4 linked regions of the Arabidopsis thaliana genome follow. The protein of the gene in region 4 purifies or fractionates together with the protein of the main gene of each other region. This does not show direct contact. Each region holds a gene or a part of one and is shown on either strand. Other genes may lie near its edges.

The links.
Region 1: the proteins of NPSN11 (region 4) and SAR1 purify together in Arabidopsis thaliana (affinity purification with western blotting, with the first as the bait; one study listed by BioGRID). This does not show direct contact.
Region 2: the proteins of NPSN11 (region 4) and VTI1B purify together in Arabidopsis thaliana (affinity purification with western blotting, with the first as the bait; one study listed by BioGRID). This does not show direct contact.
Region 3: the proteins of NPSN11 (region 4) and SYP111 purify together in Arabidopsis thaliana (affinity purification with western blotting; 2 studies listed by BioGRID, with this or other methods). This does not show direct contact.

Annotation. Positions count from the first base shown.
Region 1 is NC_003071.7:14,042,403-14,047,737, reverse strand, and holds SAR1 (synaptobrevin-related protein 1), read left to right. Parts: upstream 1-2,194; 5' UTR 2,195-2,400; coding exon 2,401-2,614; intron 2,615-3,066; coding exon 3,067-3,208; intron 3,209-3,301; coding exon 3,302-3,422; intron 3,423-3,614; coding exon 3,615-3,677; intron 3,678-3,803; coding exon 3,804-3,953; 3' UTR 3,954-4,279; downstream 4,280-5,335. Other genes in the region: RALFL18 (ralf-like 18), read left to right, coding at 906-1,217; VAMP723 (vesicle-associated membrane protein 723), read left to right, coding at 4,846-5,035. UniProt on the Arabidopsis thaliana protein: Involved in the targeting and/or fusion of transport vesicles to their target membrane.
Region 2 is NC_003070.9:9,213,428-9,219,068, reverse strand, and holds VTI1B (Vesicle transport v-SNARE family protein), read right to left. Parts: upstream 3,300-5,641; 5' UTR 2,967-3,299; coding exon 2,870-2,966; intron 2,210-2,869; coding exon 2,151-2,209; intron 2,062-2,150; coding exon 1,873-2,061; intron 1,697-1,872; coding exon 1,526-1,696; intron 1,429-1,525; coding exon 1,276-1,428; 3' UTR 1,059-1,275; downstream 1-1,058. Other genes in the region: AT1G26665 (Mediator complex, subunit Med10), read right to left, coding at 3,643-3,714, 3,803-3,892, 3,976-4,078, 4,166-4,246, 4,336-4,559; AT1G26660 (Prefoldin chaperone subunit family protein), read right to left, coding at 5,304-5,375, 5,533-5,587. UniProt on the Arabidopsis thaliana protein: Together with either SYP41 or SYP61, required for membrane fusion; the fusion of phospholipid vesicles containing SYP41 or SYP61 and VTI12 is triggered by YKT61 and YKT62.
Region 3 is NC_003070.9:2,708,566-2,713,396, forward strand, and holds SYP111 (syntaxin of plants 111), read right to left. Parts: upstream 2,436-4,831; 5' UTR 2,245-2,435; intron 2,155-2,244; 5' UTR 2,146-2,154; coding exon 1,213-2,145; 3' UTR 960-1,212; downstream 1-959. Other genes in the region: NPQ1 (non-photochemical quenching 1), read left to right, coding at 1-217, 309-822; ACHT4 (atypical CYS HIS rich thioredoxin 4), read left to right, coding at 4,494-4,730. UniProt on the Arabidopsis thaliana protein: Involved in cytokinesis. Acts as a cell plate-specific syntaxin, required for the fusion of vesicles at the plane of cell division.
Region 4 is NC_003071.7:14,828,317-14,834,176, forward strand, and holds NPSN11 (Putative plant snare 11), read left to right. Parts: upstream 1-2,309; 5' UTR 2,310-2,770; coding exon 2,771-2,847; intron 2,848-2,940; coding exon 2,941-3,033; intron 3,034-3,107; coding exon 3,108-3,239; intron 3,240-3,316; coding exon 3,317-3,411; intron 3,412-3,535; coding exon 3,536-3,615; intron 3,616-3,766; coding exon 3,767-3,823; intron 3,824-3,955; coding exon 3,956-4,048; intron 4,049-4,151; coding exon 4,152-4,226; intron 4,227-4,567; coding exon 4,568-4,663; 3' UTR 4,664-5,101; downstream 5,102-5,860. Other genes in the region: AT2G35170 (Histone H3 K4-specific methyltransferase SET7/9 family protein), read left to right, coding at 1-320, 773-1,031, 1,116-1,289; AT2G35200 (DUF740 family protein), read left to right, coding at 5,572-5,860. UniProt on the Arabidopsis thaliana protein: t-SNARE involved in diverse vesicle trafficking and membrane fusion processes, including cell plate formation.

The sequences.
Region 1 (5,335 bases), 790 kb from region 4:
ATTATAGTTTCGAATAAAGCACACAACCAATGTTTGCCTGAGTCTTGTGTTGTTCTTGACCAGGTCATGTGTTTAGTATTTTTTTTAAGTGAAGGGGGATAATCTTTAAATCTTTTATATGTAAGAATATTGTTCTTCTCGAATTTCATCAGTTGTTGCTTCTAGAAATTTTAGATTTTTTGGGTGGCAGCCATTTCTATATTTCGATGGATAAGTCAAACGTTCATAAAGTCAAGGGTTCTGCCTTTTGTTTGTGTTTCATGATTTTACCTTGAATTTCATTAACTAAAACAGTGTTAATAGTAACAGTTGGGGTGGTGGCGCAGTTGGCTAGCGCGTAGGTCTCATAGCTACTGAGTGATCCTGAGGTCGAGAGTTCGAGCCTCTCTCACCCCATAATTTTATTTTCTCATAGCTATTTATATAACGTTCCTTCTAGTATTTTTTTTTCTTTTCGTTATAGTATCTTGTCTTTGATACCGGAGACGTTATAACGGCAGTATAAGACGTTATAATCATGTTCCAATGCATCCCCTCAGTTTTGTGTTAAAAACGAGCCATCAATGTTATCATATATGGAAATCATTATTGAGGCTTTGACCAATTAATTATGCGAATTGACCGACTTTGATCACTATACAGAGCAAAACAAATCCACTGAATCATTTATTTGTGTAGGTTCATCTTTTTTGGGCACCGTATTCATTTCTTATTCCATGAATTTGACGGAGTAATTTTGATTTTCTTTTTCGAGTAAGAATCTGGTCAAATATTCGATGAACCTCTACAAAAAAAATTAACCTCTATAAAAGTGTAGATTAACCAAGTGTTTCATCACAAACCATTTCAACGTAAACGAAACAACAACTACTACTCTCAACTTTACACTCTCTTGATAAGTCTCGATGATGAATAACATGAAGCTCTTGATCATCGCTGTGATGATCATCTCGGCAGCTTTGCTTCCAGCGCTTGTGGTCGGATCTCGTCCGGTAAAATGTGACAATTGCATGGACGGTGGAGAAAAAGAAGAGATCATGAAGATGAGTTCAGGTGTAGATGTGAGCCATAGGATACTTCAAGCTAAGAGATTTATAGATTACGAAGCATTGAAGAAAAACTTACCAGCCAAACCAGATGGTAAACCGGATAAACCGGATAACAAATACCGACGTGGTTGCAGTGCCGCTACAGGATGTTACCGCTTTACAAATTAAACATAAACCACCTCTCTCTTCTTCTTCTTCTTCCTTTCGTTGGTGTGTTTTATTTTATTTTTAATTAGTATTTCCAATCACATTTCTTATTATTATATTTTATTGCAATTTGTAAGCCTTTGAGGCATTATCTCCTAGAGAGTTAGAATAAACTTCGTTTAGAAATTGTCATCCTTTTCTCACCAAATGATTGACGAGTGAAAATTGATCTCATCGTAAAGTATTTTTGCGGTCAAGTTCAAACAAATTGATCCCTTCTCTCGCACCATATTCTTGTTTTATTTTATTTAAACGATCGATATATTTCCAAACCATTCCTCCAAAACTATCACACATTCACACCTACCAATTTCAACTTTAAATACAAAATATAGTCTTGTTGTAAATATAAGATACACTTTAGAAGTGTACACGTGAAATTCAGGTATATATATTACAATAGTAAGCAACCTCTAAGTACAATTAAATCAAGAAAAAAATAGATTTGAATTAATAGGAGCGGACATGGGATGCATGTAGAATTGTAGATTATCATTTATTATGGTGACTAGACCATTGAACTTTCCTATAACTTTGAAAATATTCTTATTTAGTCATTTAATTTAGATTACACCAAAACCCCAAATATGCCAAATTTTCTACAAATACCCCAAAAAAGACAATTTATAAAATTATTATCCAACCACATGTAATAATCTTTGATGACTTTTAAGTTTTAAATTTTAATAGTAGATTTAGATAATATAGGAACCAATTATTCAAAGGTCAAAGTTCAAACTAGCTTATCCAAATTCATTTTCGCTGATAAAAATACGTTGAAACTATCAAATAACAAAATACCATTACACCAACATCACCAACTTTTTAAAACCCCACAAGTTGATTATTTGAATTTGCTTTTAGGTCCTCAAGTTCAAGATTGTTTCAATTTGCACAATCTGCATAAATCTTTCTGAAATATAACTTTTTTGCCCTCTAAAACTCAAGGGTTTGATTTTTCTTCTTCAACTACGTTAAGATTTCTCCTACACTTTTCTTTTTCACCGTATTCTCTTTTAGTCCTCGATTCTCTACGCGTTTCAGCGTCAAGTCTTCTAGATCTCTAAAGCCTTCGTGCTCGCCAATATAAATCTCTGAGATCGGTCCCGTAAAATCGGATTCGCGTCGTTTTTGAGTAAAAAAAATGGCGCAACAATCGTTGATCTACAGTTTCGTCGCTCGTGGTACCGTTATCCTCGTTGAGTTCACAGATTTCAAAGGCAATTTCACATCAATCGCTGCTCAGTGCCTTCAGAAGCTTCCTTCTTCTAACAACAAGTTTACCTACAACTGCGATGGTCACACGTTCAATTACCTCGTCGAAAATGGATTCAGTGAGTCAAAATATTGCTCGATCTGTAAGCGTAGCTTGTTTGTGTTTTGATTTATCCATTGTTTGAATTAGATTTTTTGCCTAATTGAGAAATATGAATCGAGTTCTTATGTTTGGTATAGTTTCCAGTAATAATTATGTATTGGCGTTGATAATTAATTGATGTTAGATCTATGGTAATCAGTGATATTTTTGGTGGATCTATCAATGAATATTTGCAATTTTTGTTCTGGATCTATTGATTCTTTGCTTATTTGCGTGTAGCTTTCGATATCATGAAGTTTTTGGCATTAGTGTATTGTGTTCTTTATGTAACTCTGTTTTACTAAACCTAATTGGGTTTTGGGTGATGTTGATGGCGGATATGGTCTCTTTATGATAGTGTTAACTTTCTTATCAGCGATATATTGATGAATCTATTGCTTTATCTCTTAATATAGAGTTTAAAATGGACCGGTTTTGTTTTCGTTTGTGCAGCCTATTGTGTTGTTGCAGTTGATTCTGCTGGGAGGCAGATTCCTATGGCTTTCTTGGAACGAGTTAAGGAGGATTTCAACAAGAGATATGGTGGTGGAAAGGCTGCAACTGCTCAAGCAAACAGCTTGAATAAAGAATTTGGGTATGTGTTTTTTGATCTCTTTGATTGGTATTGAAAAGGGTCTATGATTCATGGGCATAGTTATTGATGGACTTCTTTTTGGCTTCTCTAAAGGTCGAAACTGAAAGAGCATATGCAGTATTGCATGGATCATCCTGATGAGATTAGCAAGCTTGCTAAGGTTAAAGCTCAAGTGTCTGAAGTTAAAGGTGTTATGATGGAAAACATTGAGAAGGTTTGATTCTGACCCTTTTTTCTTTTTATCGATATAGTTTTATGTTGTAAACCTTTTCGAACAGAGTTCAGCTTGTATGACTTTAGTACCAGGATCTTATGATTCGTAAAGCATAAACTGTAGAGAGGAATGTTTTATTCTCGGTTGTGAAGACATATTCTGTTGTTAACTCGTTTATGCATTCGTTTGCAGGTTCTTGACCGTGGTGAGAAGATTGAGCTTTTGGTTGACAAAACAGAAAACCTTCGCTCACAGGTTTGTTTTCTAAATGGTTCAAAGTCAATAGACCCACACAGAGACATGCAAGAGTTTGCAGCTTTCTCTTACTGATTGTTGTTTCTTGGGTTTCTAACTTTAAATTTGAACTCGACTTTATCACAGGCGCAAGATTTTAGAACACAAGGAACTCAAATGAGAAGAAAGATGTGGTTTCAGAACATGAAGATAAAGCTCATTGTCCTTGCAATTATCATTGCCTTGATTCTCATCATCATCCTCTCAATTTGTGGGGGATTCAACTGCGGTAAATAAGTCTGGAACATTTCTTCCCGGCGTTATCGACTGCGCTCTGTGCTTCCCAAGATCTCTGAGAATATCTTCATTCAGTTCGTTGTGCTACCTTTTTGTTTTGTTTTTGTTTTTGTGATTTCTATATTCTCATACTATATGTTTCTTCTTAGATTGTACTTCTTGAAATTTGTTTTGTATAGGCTATATATATTATACATATATGTATGCATGTTCGACAATCTGCAATGTTGCTATTGCTGGTACTGACACTAATTCTTGCAAACCAATATTTGGACGATACTTGTTCTTGGCAATTTACTAATTTCTTTGGTCTGTTGATGAGACTCTAGTTGCGGATTGCAGTGAGGTATAAGCATAGTCCACAGCCGGTTAATATTAAATGGAGATGAATATGTAATTAACACGGTTTCGTCTGACCGATTCACCAGAGTCTCCGGTTAGTTCATTAAGGGTTTGCTCAAACGCTTTCTCCTCTGCTTCCCTAATTTCGGAAACATTCGCCTGATTTTCTGAGATTTTGGAATTTCTTCGAATTGATTGCCATGCTGAGCTCAAGATTTCGACTGCTGAAATCGAGGCGACTTGCGGAGCCACCTCCGGCTGATGTCGCGGTTATGTGTATTTGCAGGAAATGAAAGTGATCTCCTTATTGCGGCAAATCAGCCACTTCCTGTCGACTAAAACTGTGGTGCAGCATGTAAGAACAAATGCAAGTTCGGACAAACGTGTTGTCTTGGTCAGTGGTTTTACTTGGCTTAGTCTTCGATTCTCTACGCGTTTCAGCGTCAAGTTTTCTAGATCTCTAAAGCTTTCGTGCTCGCCGATATAAATCTCTAATATCGGTCCCGTAAGATCGAATTAGATTCGCGTCGTTTTTTAAGGAACCAAAATAATGGCGCAACAATCGTTGTTCTACAGTTTCATCGCTCGCGGCACCGTAATCCTCGTCGAGTTCACAGATTTCAAAGGCAATTTCACATCTGTCGCTGCTCAGTACCTTGAGAATCTTCCTTCCTCGAACAACAAGTTTACCTACAACTGCGATGGTCATACGTTCAACGACCTCGTCGAAAATGGATTCAGTGAGTCAAAATATTGCTCGTGATGTGTTTGTGATTGTGTTTTCGATTAGTCGATTTATTCATTGTTTGGATTAGATTTCTTTTTACCTAATTGAGCATTTGAGAATCGAGTTCTTATGTTTGGTATATCTCTATGACTTATCTGAGTCGAGTTCTTATGTGTTTACCGTTTGGTATAATTTCAGGAATAGTTATGTATTGGGTTTGATAATTAATTGATGTTAGATCTATAATCAGTGATATGTTTGGTGGATCTATTTAAGCATCTATGCAATTCTTATTATGAATCTATGATTCTTG
Region 2 (5,641 bases), on a different chromosome or scaffold from region 4:
TAGAAATTAATTATTTCAAATCACACAATTATTTGAATCAATTATGAAAACTGATAACTAATTTAACATCAATTGTTTACAAGTAATAGAAATATTGGCATGCATAAATTATTATATATGTTACAAATATTAACATCATTTAAATTAAATGATGCGAATTTTAACATTATTTTTTGTAATTGATATATGTTAAGATCGATTTACAAGAATCGATACAAAATATTTGCATCACTACTTTCAAAAGTCACTTTTTTTAGTGATGTAAATGTTTTTCTTGCCATCAATTATAAGTTTATAACTAATAAAAATATATAAAATAAATGATGTAAAAACACACATTTTTTTTGTAGTGATTGTACTTGATTAGTACTCAAATCATTTTGTCATCACATCAATCAAGTGTATATGCCTAAAATTTTAAAGAGTAGATTAATTAATCTCAAAACTCTTTCATTTGGTGGTTAAGTGAATTATTTCCGGCGAATGGGAGGAAATTCTTGATCATTAAAGATTATTTTCAATCACTCGTCAATCTATCCCTGCTTACGAAGAAGGGATTTATAGGGTGGAATGGGTTAACGAGTTTGAAGACCAGAACGTGTGGTTTAAAACATAACAGGGGCTGAGATCATAGAAAACATAATTCACGACAGAAACACATGCTCTAGCTGCGTTATGGACGGGCCGGGACTGCATAAAACTATTTGTTTCGGGGATAGTTTTACTTGTTATGTTTGGCTTGTGTGTATTTTTTGGTGTCGTGAATGTTTGATGTTATTTTAAATAGAGAGATAGAAGGAGAGGCCTTTGTTTCATGCTCTGACGTGACAGTGGGTCTCCTGCCTGCGACTGGTGATCACGGCAAGATGATTGGTCCGGCAAGGATGTGTCAGGTGTCCTAGTTTTCTTAAAACATTATAAGTATAGATCTTTGGCTCATGTAAAGACTTGGAAAACCTTATGTTTTGAGCAATGGAGTGTTTGTTCTTTTTGGAATTACATTGTTGTAAGTTTTCAAAGGTTGGACTTGAGATGTAAGTGGAAGTTTCCACAGTTGTAACTTTTGAAACATCTGCTTTATATAAAATAGTACCACTTTTTTGGAAAAAAAGACAAAAAAGAAAAGACTTGGGAAACCTTATGAATGTTAAAAGTGTTGCCACTTCAATACAAACATCGTACTTAAAAATACAAGTAACCACTTGGGCCATTACAAAGTAAATCAACCATCATATATATATACACAATCACGATGAATAATGTTTTTTGAGTATATTAATGAGAAAGCTTGTATGAGATGATCAAGATGATGGCGAGAACGAGAGCCACGATTACCGATGTAATGATCCATTTGTTCCTAGTCATTCTCCTTGACATAGCCGTCAACACCTTCTTGCTCTTGTCAATGGCGTCATCCACACCATGAAGCTGTGATTCAAAATCAGAAAAGTTAGCTTCTCAATGATCTAATTCAAACAAATCATTGGCACTGATAGATACCAAACCGAGCAATTGTAGACGGTACCTTGTTGTGCGCATGAAGGAGGGTTTGGCGTTGCTGACTCAAATCTTGGACAATTGAGATGCCAACCTCTTCTGTCTCCAGCATTAGTCTTCTACTCTCCCTGATTCTGTCACTTGATTGGTCAAGCCTCTCCACGGACATTGCCAATCTTCCTCTTTGATCAGCAGATACCTGGAACATGGACAATAATGTAAATCACAGCAAAGTCTTTGCCATCTAAAAGTTTGTGTGAAGATGAATATAAAGGAGGGTCCCCTCAGGACAAAGAAGCCTAACTGATGCAAGTCAATTAAGACAACTAAGATAATGAGAAAACAAGAGTTTCTATTTAGGAGTTAGAAGCTTACTGCATGCAGATCCGCCATTCCGGATTCCATCAACTCTTCACGGGAAGACGGCTTAGCATCTGCGGAAGAGACTCGTTTGAATTCCTTCTTCAATTGGTTCAGATCAGATTTATACTCTCTTAGTTTAGAAAGACACACAGCTTTAGCACTCGGCTGCAAACTTCTTGCCTCAAGATCCATTTTCCGGATCTACAAAAAAACCACAGAAGCATATATATTAATTTTAAAAAAGAAAGAACAGAACGGTAACAACATTAAAGCAAGTTAAATGCAAATACCAAGACATCAGCTTCGTCTATTCCAGACTTGATCTCAGCAATCTTCCCCTTCTTCTCCTCTATAAAAGCACACAACAATATCTAATCAAACCTCTACTCTGGTTCTATGGCACCACAAAATGTAACAACTCCATGCATGTCTATGTACTATAACTCCAAGAAAGACAGTGGTAACCATAGACTGACAAACAAATGAAAAAAAACACCAACTCAATAAACCTCTGCAGCTACATAACTAGGTTCTTATGATCTTATCTTCAGTCTTAATTTCTTCACAAAACTACTTGACCAATCCAAGTAAATTACATTCCCAGATACTACAGAACTCGTCAGATCGTAAACAAGCTAAAACGATTAGTAAACACTCATGCACCTCTACTTTACAAATACCCCCAAATTCGGACAAAATTAGATGAAATAGATTGAGAAACAAGTTAATAAATCTATGCAACTACATAACTATCTAGACCTAACTAGGTTATCGTCTTCTAATCCAAGCAATGAGAAACAGATCCTATGTCTCAACATTCCTAAATGTTACAAAACTTCGTCAGATCCTAAACAAGTCAGGACGATTAGTAAAGAACACTAGTCCACCAGCTACTTGTCACAGCTCAAAAGCTCCAATAACCCCAAATTCGAAGATTCGAATTTCTAAAATCAGGTAAATTCGAAGATCTCGCGTTCAAGATCCGAAATCGGGAGCGTCTGGATTTTACCTCCGTTGGAGAGAACCGATGCAGAGTGACATTTTCTAGAGAGATTGGTTGAGAGCTCGCAGTATTGACGCTCGTACCCTTCAAATACGTCGCTCATCTTCAATTATATGTTTCGATCTTGAGAAATTTGGTGGATTTTTTCTGATCAATCGGATCCTTTGTTTGATTGGATTGGATCGGATCTAGAAGCAAAACAGTTTCCTCTTTGCTTAAAGATAATCAAACAACTCTTCTTCTTCTTCCTTTGTATTTCTCTGCTCGGGGACAAGGAGGAACAATCAAACAAAGCGGTGCGTTTTATATTGACACGTGTCAGCCACTGCGTATTAAGTCCCCCATGCTGCAATCGATGCAAATGTAGGTGAGACAAACCAAACCGAATCAAACCGTTAATTAAGATTGAAATCTAAGTGTCTTTTCTCACTTTTTCAGCTCTCGGAAATAGTGTACATTTTATGCAGAACCAAGATTACTCGTCCAGGAAATAGACAAATCCATTGATAGAAGTCGAATCTGTTTTGCGTAACTATGTGGGATTCTTTGATAGTCTCATGAAATCAAAGAGATCTCAGAGGCTAAGAGTAAGATAGTCCACTCGAGTAAAAATGGGGGGAACAAGCAGAGATTCTCAAACTATATTAGCCAGGTGAAGAGAACCAACAGATATTATTAGAAATTCCACTTGGGATTGTTCGTGTTACATCACATTCATCGACTCAGTCATTATATTCTACAAGAGTACAAGGTAAACATAAAAAGGATCCTTTGGGCTCTTATAGCTCATTCTTGACCTTTGCATCCCCATTTGGTAACACACTTTGCGATTGCGCCAACCGTTTCGCTTCCTGAATATGACCAAAACTGTTTAATCCCCTTGACTTACTATAATATATTAATGAAGATGTACAATACTAGTCGAAGTTAACAACTTACAGCAGCAGAACTAGCACGGATTTCTCTATACATATCGACTTCATCAGGGAAATTCTGTTCAAGCTCCTCCAGAATATGTTTTCTCAAATCCTATTTATAACAAAATGTTGATTAAGAGACTCAGTAACCTTAAGAATCATACACAAATTAAGAATCAGAAGAAAAGGAGTCACCTTAAAAGCATCAGTCTTGCCCTTAGTAACTTGATTTCTAGCTATGCAGCTATTAAGAACATCTTTCGTAAACTCATCCGGGTTCTTCCCATCATCAATCAAGCTATACGAAAACGCAAACATAAGTAAGCAAGTAAAAGTATCTATCTTCAAAGTGCATACTAAAAACAAAAAGGACTTGTTTTCTCACTTAAGAACCTCCATGGGGATTTGAATGTTGCATTTCTCAGACAACTTAGTCATGTTATCTAGCTCCATCACAAGAGAGTTACTGCAAATACACACACACACACATATTCATTCAAACAATAGTTACAATACCCAAAACAATAAACACAGATGAGTAGAGGAGTTACTTACAGGCGCTGGAGGAGATGGAGTTGAGACGCGGGTGTGAAAGAAGTGACGGTAAGGTGTAACTGATGAAGGACTCCTAAAGTTTTCTCAATAGAGTTTATGACTTGGGAAAGATTCTCCTTTGAATCATCAGCAACGGTCACAGTTGAAGTCCCATCATTGGTTTGATATCTGATTGTACCATTGCTCCCACCAATCCCTGCACTTGTGTTCTGTGTTGGATCCATCACAAGCTGCCACAAAATATAAACTTGAGATATATGACCTGATGCGTTAGCGATAACAAAACAAAAACGAGAAAACGCAATTTTCGATCTCAAAATCAAACGAAAATTCTTCAGAAACCTTATTCAATTGGAGTGGATTTTGGTATCCAAATTTCTAATTTTAGATGCAAATTCCACAAAAACGCCCAGATCAAGAATAACGATAACAATAACAATTAGCGTAGAATGAAGATCCGTGACTTACCTACAACAGAGATGCGTTTGGCGAGAGTGAGGTGGAGATTCTCCGGACGAATTAGGTTTTCCTCCGAGCCTTACCGTGAAAACCGAAAAGGGACCGACGAAGACAGGGAAGCGGAAGATATTTGGACACTTTGCTGACGTGGAATATCATTATCTTGTATCTGTTTCGTTCATACTTTTATTTCATTCTTCATCAGCTGTGTTAAACTGTTAATGATCTTCTAAGTTCTAACATGTGATTATTAATATTTAAAATAGAAATGGCAGATTTAACAGAGTGCGATTCACTATTCACCCCCACAACAATAGTCATTCTATAAAGTTTTGATTGCTTAATCGATATGTTTATCTAACACCAACAGTTTGGTCCATTCCGGAGAAAGAGTTAGTATTGAACAAACTAAGTTAATTCTCTGCTTTAAAAACTCAAAACAGTAAGCAGAACAAATCGAGAAGATAAGACTGCAAGAGAAAATCCTCAACTTTCCACTAGGTAGTGTACTAAAACGCACGTTGCCGGGATGACGGATTCTCTTCAGGAAGATTGAGTATTTGCTGAATCTGGTAATGAGCCTGCAATGGTAATTTAACATTAATACTTATCCGATGACACTTTCATATATCCGTCTGATGCAGGGTTCCTACGCAATAGTGATTTTCTAGTCCAATTCAACCTCATAAGACAAATGATTGACTACTATCACAAAGCAAGATAAGAACTTGAACTTACCAGTTTGATGCGCCCTTTGATCTGCGTAATAACACCAGTATACTCTTCTAGTTGTCTGTTAAAAACAAAAAAAACCACATTTATATTGCATCAACATTCAGTCACTATA
Region 3 (4,831 bases), on a different chromosome or scaffold from region 4:
GTGGCTTGAATCCAACCTTTGATGCCTTCGACTGCCAGCTGCATGAGTTCCACACAGAAGGTGACAACAAGCTTGTTGGAAACATCTCTTGGAGAATAAAGACCCTAGACAGTGGATTCTTTACTAGGTCAGCCGTACAAAAATTCGTGCAAGATCCTAACCAACCTGGTGTTCTCTACAATCATGACAACGAGTACCTTCACTATCAAGATGACTGGTAATAACATCTTGTATCCACCCACGAGGGAGAGTCTTGATAGTGCTGCTATTCTTCTTTGGCCTAACAAGCTTTCATATGATTTTTGCAGGTATATCCTGTCATCAAAGATAGAGAATAAACCTGAAGACTATATATTTGTATACTACCGTGGGCGAAACGATGCTTGGGATGGATATGGTGGTGCAGTTGTATACACGAGAAGTTCTGTATTACCCAATAGCATTATACCAGAACTCGAAAAAGCAGCAAAAAGCATAGGCAGAGACTTCAGCACATTCATTAGAACGGATAACACATGTGGTCCTGAACCTGCGCTCGTGGAGAGAATTGAGAAGACAGTGGAAGAAGGTGAAAGGATAATCGTAAAAGAGGTTGAAGAGATAGAAGAAGAGGTAGAGAAGGAAGTGGAGAAGGTCGGTAGGACTGAGATGACCTTGTTCCAGAGATTGGCTGAAGGATTTAATGAACTGAAGCAAGACGAGGAGAATTTCGTGAGAGAGTTAAGTAAAGAAGAGATGGAGTTTTTGGATGAGATCAAAATGGAAGCAAGTGAGGTTGAAAAATTGTTTGGGAAAGCTTTGCCAATCAGGAAGGTCAGGTAGAAACAAGAACCACCATTGTTGTACAAACTATATTATACATACTGTGTTCGGTTCATATAAAGTAATATTTTTGTACACAGTCATCATCATTCCATAACAATTGGATACAGAAAACACAAGGATTAAACATCCTTTGAGCGAAACAAACAACGATTGGTAAACATAGTACCTCAAGAAGAGCTGAAAGTGTTAACAATGGGGATGACAACATTTAGAATGATCAAGAGGATTAAGTCAACTGGGTATCTTTGTAAACATTCACCATTTCATTGAAATTGGATACAAGACACGAAAGGATTAAGACATCCTTGAAGAACACAAAAGGATTAAGACATCCATTGGTACAAAGAAGAGCGAAACAAAACAAAAGGAGTGAACATAGCCAGTATCTCAAGAAGAGCTGAAACTGGTAATGATGGGGATGACAACAATGAGAATGATCAAAAGCAGCACAATGATACCAATGCACATCCATTTTCTGCTGTTTCTCTGATGACTCTTTGCAGTCTTCAGCTCATTAGCTCCATCAGCCACGTAATGGCTCGCATTAATCACATGATGCTCGATCTCGTCCATCTGTTCACCTTGCGATTCAACCATCACAGCCATATCAAGAAACACTTGGTGAAGCTCCAACAGACTCTTCTCAATCTCCTTTGCTGCATCATACCTGTCTTGAATCTCAACCACAGTTTCCAAGACCTTTCCTTTACCATGTTCCTGAATTGCTCGCGTGAGAAACTCTTCACCTCCAGCGTTATCAGTGATGATCTTCTCAATCATCTCATCATTAGCATGTTCTCCAGTGACAGTGAAGTACCTTCTCTCAACAGTCTCCTTGTACTCACTCATCATCTTTTGCCTCAGCCCCTGAAACTCCATCATCACTTCCTTAAGTTTCTTCCTCAGCCCATTAGTCACAGCGGTTCTGCTCCTATAAACCGGAGTCCCAGAGAGCCTTTTAATCTCCTTGTTGGCTTTATCCATCTCTTCCAGCTTCGACTTAATCGATTTCGCCTTCCTCAAACCAGACACAATCTCGTTAGAGATCTTGTTACGAAGAGACTTCACAGACTCTGCCTTGTGAACACCTTTACTCTCTTCATGGTACTGTTCGATCCGAGCCAGCGTCTCACTAATCAAACCCATCTCTGCTTTCACATACTCTGCTTCTTCTAAGAAAGATGACAGATTCTCATCCATCTTGTCTGCTTTCGTAGAAGCCATCTCAAGATCAAAGTCAGGTCCTGCTTCCATATCCTTCATCGCTGCTTTTTTCAAGTCAACGTAACTCATAAACGATTTCGTCATCAAGTCGTTCATCTTTTTCACCTGAAAGTCAACAATTTTACAAGAATCAGAGAGAATCGCAGTGATTGTAACAGAATCAAACAAGAGAAAATCAAAGAAAATACAACATACTCTTCTGATTAGTGTGTTCTTCTAGATCCACAAAGTTTCTGCCCAGAAAGTGAGAGAGTAGTGTGAAGTAAAGCTTACTATAGAATTTGATTAGCGATTTGTGAGATGAGAGAAAGCTTTCTTTCTAATATAAGAAAAAGGAGAAATTAGCCGTTACTGTGATTTCTTCGCCCCAACGGCTATATTTTGGCGATGTATCCGTTGTCGTCCATTTGTCTATCTGTTTCTGTTTCTTCAAATCTATTTTTAAATTCATGTGAATTTCTTTCGAAACTTTAAAATAATATAGGGACTAAATTGTAATTAGATGTATGTTTTAGTGCCGACGTGTGTGATTGAGACAGCTTTAAAGATATCGAAACTGAGAAGAAAATATAGGGACTAAATTGTAATTATGTGTATGACATCGCTTTTGTCGACAAATCATCATTGGTGACGATTTACGAAAGCAAAGAAGAGGTGTTCTTAGCTGCACATTTGTCACCATTTATACAAAAATTGTGGTTCTTGTGTTTTGTTTTTTATGTTGGAAAACTTATGGTATAGTTTCTTTTGTTACGATACACCTTAGTTGAACCATTCAAATTATTAGGATATTTTCAAATATATAATATTTTAATTCTAATTTCGTATGTAAACGACTCTCCAATAAAACATCTCCACTAGCTTGTTGGTCTCTAAACTTGAAATCAGTTTTTATTTTTCTTGTAATATTTTCAAAATTGTTTCAATATCGTAGACAAATTTTAAATAAAATGTACATCATATCTCTATAAACTTAATAATACCCAAAATTTTGACTAATCACATTAAATTCCTTATGATATTCGAATAAAAAAATAATTTAATAATATTTATTGTAGTCGCAATTCAATATTTATTCTGTAATGCTTGAAAAATGTTTTTAAAAACTGTGTCACTACATTACTATAACGTTAGTATGTACTAAATTTTGTAACGTTTCATGGTTATAAAATAGTATTAGTTTACCGACAAAAATATATAGATTACGTAACGCTTGTTTTACATTAAAACAAATTTGTTAGGATTGTTTTGTCTATTCTACATTCGTCACATTTGTTTTGTTTAAACTTTTTGTTTTCTAATTAAAAAATTATTCTGTTTTTGTAATTAAATATAGTAAATTTGTTTGCCGCCCAAAAAAATATTACATAACGCTTGTTTTACATTAAAATAAAGTTGCTTCGATTGTTTTGGCTGTTCAACTCTAGTCACATTTGTTACGTTTGTTCTACTTATTGTCGTGAATCGATCGAAAACTTGTGCAATGTGGAATTGAGGGGGTTAGATGTAAACCAAAAAACTAAAAAGGGCAATCTCCAATTATTTTGTTAAAGAGGTGGCAATTGCAAATCTCCAATAATATAAAGTTCATAAAAAAGGTTAAAGGAGAGAGTTGTGGTGGAGAGAGTGAGACCCACGTGGGTGATGTGTTGGCAAACTATCTTCCTTAAAATCCAAATCCATTTATCCATCACTACTTTTTTTTCTTTTGTTTGGTAGTAAAATCCTTCACTAGTTGATTGCAGATGACTAATAAAGTAATAATCTTTCATTTTGGTGGTTCATCGCCTAATTTGTTGTTTACTTGATTGATAAATGTTTGAGGATGAAACTGTATCATTTATTTTTCTCAAAATTGTTTGGTTCATGACCTATATAATCCATTTGTTTAATATTAATATAGGTAAATTTAAAATTCGTTACTTAAATTGGCTAAACATACTCTTCAAAATAATATATATCCACTTAACATAGTTAAAACTCTGTATTCAGATAAAAGCATGGTAAAAAACCAAACATATCCATTTAAATGTATTCAAAGTCATGAGAAAATTTCCTATACTTGTTCCTTTATATCTGCGAGAAGTCATGAACCTTATCCATTTATTAGTTTTCTTCTGACCGACTAAACCTGATAATCACTAATCCACCGTTAGATCTTAAAATTCCAAATCCAAAATGGACGGTCAAGATCACTTAACGAAAAAGAAAACAGTTTCCTGTCCAGAAATGTCTAACCTTGAGGCCTTTTTCTCTTTCCTTTAAACTTTTTTTTTTCGATTATAAATTTTCTCGTGAAGCTAATTTTTCCTGAGAAAGAAAGCGAAACTTCGCTGGCGACTAAAGATTGCTGAGAAGACACGTCGTCTCTGTGAGAACTTTTTCTTTTTCTTCTGGTATATTCTGGAGACAGATATTGTTTTTTCTTCTGATTAGAGAATAATATGACGGAAGTGATTAGCAAAACGAGTTTGTTCTTAGGAGCTTGTGGTAATCATCACCGTGTTGATGATTTCTCTTTCTCTCCGGTGAGTTTTGGTGGGTTTGGTTTGAAAAAGAGTTTCTCTTGTCTGAAGCTTAAGAGTCAGAAGCCTCTTAGAAGTGTATTTTACGGAAAACAGATCGTTTTCGGAGATTCTCAAGACGAGAGCTTCAGAAGATCATCAGCTATCACAGCTCAGGTAGACTTTAATGTTTTGTGTTTTCGTTTTTGTTTATCTGAAATATTATAATCCATTACATGCGAGATCTAATTAGAAAGATCCTGAGAGCTAATTGTTGA
Region 4 (5,860 bases):
TTTCATAGAGGAAAGTGTTCAGGAAGTGGAGTTTATTACTATTCTATGAAAGGCAAATACGAAGGAGAGTGGATTGATGGGAAATATGATGGTTATGGAGTAGAAACATGGTCTAAAGGGAGTAGGTATCGAGGTCAATATAGGTTAGGTCTAAGACATGGAATTGGAGTTTATACGTTTTATACAGGAGATGTGTATGCTGGTGAATGGTCTAATGGGCAGTGCCATGGTTGTGGTGTATATACCTCTGAGGATGGAAGTAGATATGACGGAGAGTTCAAGTGGGGTGTCAAACATGGCCTTGGTAGTTACCATTTCAGGTCAGCATTGTTCTTTTTTACTCTGCATAGTCATTTGAGTTTCTGGAATATGGTTGTGCTTTGACCTGTAATGGTGGTGCATTAGATCCCTGTATATGTTGCTCGTCTAAGTGTGTTTGCTATCTTGAGTTCCATTGTTTTTGAAGGGTCGTGTAGTTGTCTTTCTCTTTATTGTTGCCCTTGTTCACTTGGGTGTGTGAATCTGGAGGACCTCTGAAAGGTTTTCAATTTCGATTTCTGACATCAGATGGATAACTGGGTTTTGTTTCCTGCTTCTTGTGGTTATCCTCACCTTATAAGCTAGTCTAGTGAACATCAAAGTTTAGGCTTTTGTGTTACTCTCAGTTAGCATTGATCTTAAGCAATTGCATGAAGCACTGGTGGTCCAGTATGCTTTAGCGGTACCATGGCTTTAAAACTACATTTAACTTGGAGTTATGCTGCTGTTGCAGAAATGGTGATGCGTATGCTGGGGAGTATTTTGCAGACAAGATGCATGGTTTTGGAGTGTATCACTTTGCGAACGGGCATAAGTATGAAGGAGCTTGGCACGAGGGAAGAAGGCAAGGGCTTGGTATGTATACTTTCAGGAATGGTGATACACAAGCCGGTCATTGGGAAGACGGTGTACTCAGTTGTCCTACCGAGCAGACTATCCGTCCTGGATCATCTTTTACCATAAGCCATTCCAAAGTTGTTGATGCTGTTGAGGTAAAAGTTAACTAGTAGTTTATCTTTAGTACTGCAAACACCATATATGTATTAAACTAAGCTTGTTCTCTCTTTCTCCTTCAGCAAGCAAGGAAAGCAGCTGAGAAAGCACATGAAGTTGTGAAAGTGGAAGAGAGGATCAAGAGAGCGGTGATGGCTGCAAATAGAGCAGCGAATGCAGCTAGAGTAGCAGCCGTGAAGGCTGTCCAATCCCAGACCTTTCACAGGAATGATGGCGATCTTGAAACCAATTGTTGAGCATAGGTTAGAAGAGATCTTCCTTAACAGGTTTTCTTGTTCCTTTATGAGCAAAGCTAGTTTGAAACTGTAGATAATAAACTAGAGATGATCTTTGTATATCAACAAGAAAAAAATTGGGTCTGCTTCATAGAATGCAACTGACATACATGTAGCCAAAAATCCCTATCTTGATTAAACAATTAGAAGAATCTGGTATATCAGTCTTATAACAAAAGATGAATCTGGTCTTGAAAAGTTGTGTATGAGTAGAAGAAGTCTAGCTCTCAGTTTGTTCTCTGAGCCTTCTGATGGTACTCCTAACAGTTACAGCACTAGCAGTATTCATCGTGTAGGCACCTCCAGCCTTAACTTTCCCACAGTCCTTACATCCCCAAATTCCAACAGCCTTCCGTTTAACAGCATACTTGCCACAGAACTAGCAGAAGTATTTGCTGTGCTGACTCACTTCCATCTTCTTGATTTGCTTCCTAAGACTGGCACCATATCTGGTCCCTTAACAGACAACATTTCAACAGATTCAGAAACAATGTAAAATGGGCTGAAAATCTGAAATCAAAAGAGGGATCTTATGATTCACACAGCAGACAACATCTCATGCTATGAAGCATTTATTTGAATGAACTAAAAGCAAGGATTTAGGCCGTTTTTATTTGGGCCAAGCTAGATGACATTATACACTTCCCTTAATTAGTTGAATTCGGTTTTTCTTAAGTACACTTTTTTTTTTTCTTTGTCCTAATTTTTCTTATTTTCAAATTTAGTTTGGATTTCGATTTTTGCATTTACCGGTTTGTATAATAAATAAACGATTCTAATTTAATGAAGGACTGAAAGTTTTGTTTCGTTTTCGAATTAATTATTATGATGTGCTCTTTATTTTAATTTCATTTAAAGTCAATTATCAAAATTAAGCTAATGTAAAGAGTGTGGATCGTCAGATCTGGAGAGGTGACCAATCGTACGTCCCAGGTTATATGAGTTCCAACACTGACAAACGATGTCGTGGCGGGTCCCACTGGTTTTCGGTAACGCAGTTTTTCAAAATCTCTCATTTTCGTCCCTTCGAGCCAAATCAATGGCAAAAAATTAGCTTTTAGAATTCCCCAAGAACAAAAACAAAAAATGTCCGAGAGAAATTAGGGAAAAACAAAACAAATAAAATCTGGGTGTAGGGGAGAGAGAGCTCGTGCTCGTGATTTTGATATCTATCTCTTCGTTATCGATTTTGAACATCCACATTGTTCTTAGATCTGAAGAAAAAAAACACGGGTTCTGTTATTACGATTTGCTCGGCGATTTTGACACCAGGCTTTCAATTCTTTTCGTTGGAGGTGATTCGATTTCAGATCCATCGGATCTAATCTCGGCGAGTCGATTCGTGGTCGACATTTTTCAAAAACTGCTCGCGTGGATCTGAAGAAGAGACATTGTTGTCTTTTGTATATCGGCACTGAATTTTTCTGGGAATCTGTGTAAAGATGGATCCAATATCAGCGGTTAGCGAAGAGCTGGCTGAGATCGAAGGACAAATCAATGACATCTTCCGTGCTTTATCGTGAGAATGAATCTCTCTCTAGCGTTTTCTCTCCATTTGTGATTTGGTATTTGTGTCTATATAATAATGTTTTGATGTTTTTGTTTTCTACAGAAATGGATTCCAGAAGCTGGAGAAGATCAAAGATGCTAATAGGCAGAGTAGGCAGCTGGAAGAACTCACTGACAAAATGCGTGACTGTAAGAGGTATACATTCATTGAATCTGGTGTTTGATTATCCAATGATGATGATGATGATGCCTTGTTCTTCTTCTTTGCAGCCTTATTAAAGATTTCGATAGGGAAATCAAAAGCTTGGAAAGCGGTAATGATGCCAGCACTAACCGGATGTTGAACGATAGACGACAATCTATGGTTAAGGAACTCAACTCATATGTTGCTCTTAAGAAGAAGTAGGTCACACTTTTGCTAATTGCTTAACTGATGCTCATATTTATGGTGATTGATGATAATGAGGATGGTTATACAGATACTCATCAAACCTAGCAAGCAATAACAAGCGAGTAGATCTTTTCGATGGACCTGGAGAAGAACACATGGAAGAAAATGTCTTATTAGCTTCAAGTAAGTCTTTAAATCTCGTATTTTGCGACCAACTAACAATGAGATAGATATTTATTGCACTTTGTTGTTATATGATTACATACAACCTAACTAGAGTATTTACTGGAAACTTAATAACTCTCAGACATGTCCAATCAAGAGTTAATGGATAAAGGAAACTCAATGATGGATGACACAGATCAAGCTATTGAGAGAGGGAAAAAGGTCCGTTTTCAGATTATATGAATGTCTTATTGTCTCTTGAAATTTCAGTCTAATGTTCATGGAGCCGTGAATGCCATGTGATAACTTGTGTCCATTTTTCCATCTTCACTAAAGCAAAATCTCACTGCTTTTTTTGTGTCTGTGACAACAGATTGTACAAGAAACTATAAATGTGGGAACAGATACTTCAGCAGCTCTCAAGGCTCAGGTGTGTAGTTAGCCCACACTTGTTTCTTTCCAAACAGTCCTGCTTCTACCTGAATCTCATTTTTTTCCAAGATTGTGTATTTGTGTGTGAATTCTGAGAATTATTAAGATAGTTTACATTTTCCTTGTTCAGACCGAGCAAATGAGTAGAGTTGTCAATGAGCTCGATTCTATTCATTTCTCACTCAAGAAAGCCTCCAAGCTGGTCAAGGAAATTGGTAGGCAGGTTAGTCTCATAAATCTCCTTATTTCTTCTTTATATCATCATTACTTGTTATCTGCAGCTCCTTCTTGTCCCTTTCACTTACTCTCTGTCCTTCTTTTATCAGGTTGCCACTGACAAATGTATTATGGCATTTCTTTTCCTTATCGTCATTGGTGTCATAGCAATCATCATCGTCAAGGTACATCTCATCTCCTTTCTTATTCAAATGTGCACACACACTTGGATACTTGTTTGAGTTAAATAGATTTCGGTGTTCATCATTATTTTTTCTTGAATAATATGAGGTTATGTTTTTTACTTTGCTGGATACCTTGTTGATCGAAGAACCTATAAAAAGCACAAATACCCACAATTTTGTCTTTCTCCATTATTCAGTTATGCAATATATAAAGTTGTCTCCTATGTGATTGTTAATTTGATCTCACTTCTAGATTCATCTGCAATATCTTTCCTTCCAACGCTGTTATCTTGTTCACATTATCATACATGTAACTTCTTCTTTTTATTTCTTTTGTATAGATTGTGAACCCAAACAACAAAGACATTCGCGACATACCGGGTGTGGGCCTAGCTCCACCAGCCATGAACAGACGTCTGCTCTGGAACCATTACTGAAAAAAAAATATCTCATTTTCACACCATTCAAAATACTGGTACGTTGCACACTTTTTTGTCCCATACACATCTTGATCCTCCCCTTAGTCATGTTGTTGTAGATGAAACCGCCTCACTTGAGAAAGTAACCAGTTTCGATTCACATGGCTCTTGGCTGCTGCACATTTGAGCAGTCACAGGAATCAAATTCCCTTTCGTTAAAAACCCAGGATCAAAACCATCTTTTTTAGCTCATGTGTTTGTATAAGGATGACTCTTTTGTGTTCTATCATATGTACGTGTATTTTTAAAACGTCTTCTCTGTTTCATGTTCTGGTAATAAAAACTTGTTTCACTGGTTCAAAGTTGTAACTGAGTTGTATCATATCCGATATATATTAGTATATGACTTCACTCTCATTATCAGCGAAAAAAATTACGGTAAACAGACCAAAAAGTCTTTACAAACAATGACCAAAAAAACAATACGATTTTACAAGCTGCCGAATCTACAAATTGCACTAATCTGTATCATAGTTTCATGTAACAACAATGATGTTTTTAGAGTTTCTAATAAGAAAATTTTTAATTGATGTAACAAAAAAAAATGTGTAGTGTGGGAAATTTTAATATATATCAGTGAGTTTAGATAAAAATTTGAAAGTTTTAACTACAATTACTAAATTAACCACGTAATAGTGAGTCGTAAATCTACAAAGGATATGCGAGGGATCGATAATCAAGGCATATAATTCGGAGCTGATGAGTTAAGCTTTAGTTAGTTTGACTAACTACGGTTATGGTTAAGACTTAAGCAGAGTGGGGCTTATTAGTGGATTAATCTTTATTTGATTACTCCAATATTAAAACCTTTATCTCTCCATCTCTCTCTCCTTCACAACAAGCAACTGAGATTCAGAGACAAGAAAATGCAACGCGAGAAAACTCAAACGAATTTGCGTTTGGACGAAGGAGGAGGCAGCGTTTGGCAGAAATGCTCAAGACACGAAGGTCGTTTTGTCTGCGTTGCCGGTGTTTGTCCTTATTGCCTCCACGAACGCCTCTCCTCTCTCTGTCCCGATTGTGCTCACGATCTTCCCTGTTCGTGTACTCCACGCGCCTCCGTGTCTTCCCGTGGAGAAGGTGACGTTTCGTTCGCCCGTATTGGGTCGGTTGGCCGTGTTGCCAACTTGATTGAATGCGAACCGGCGTTTCGGA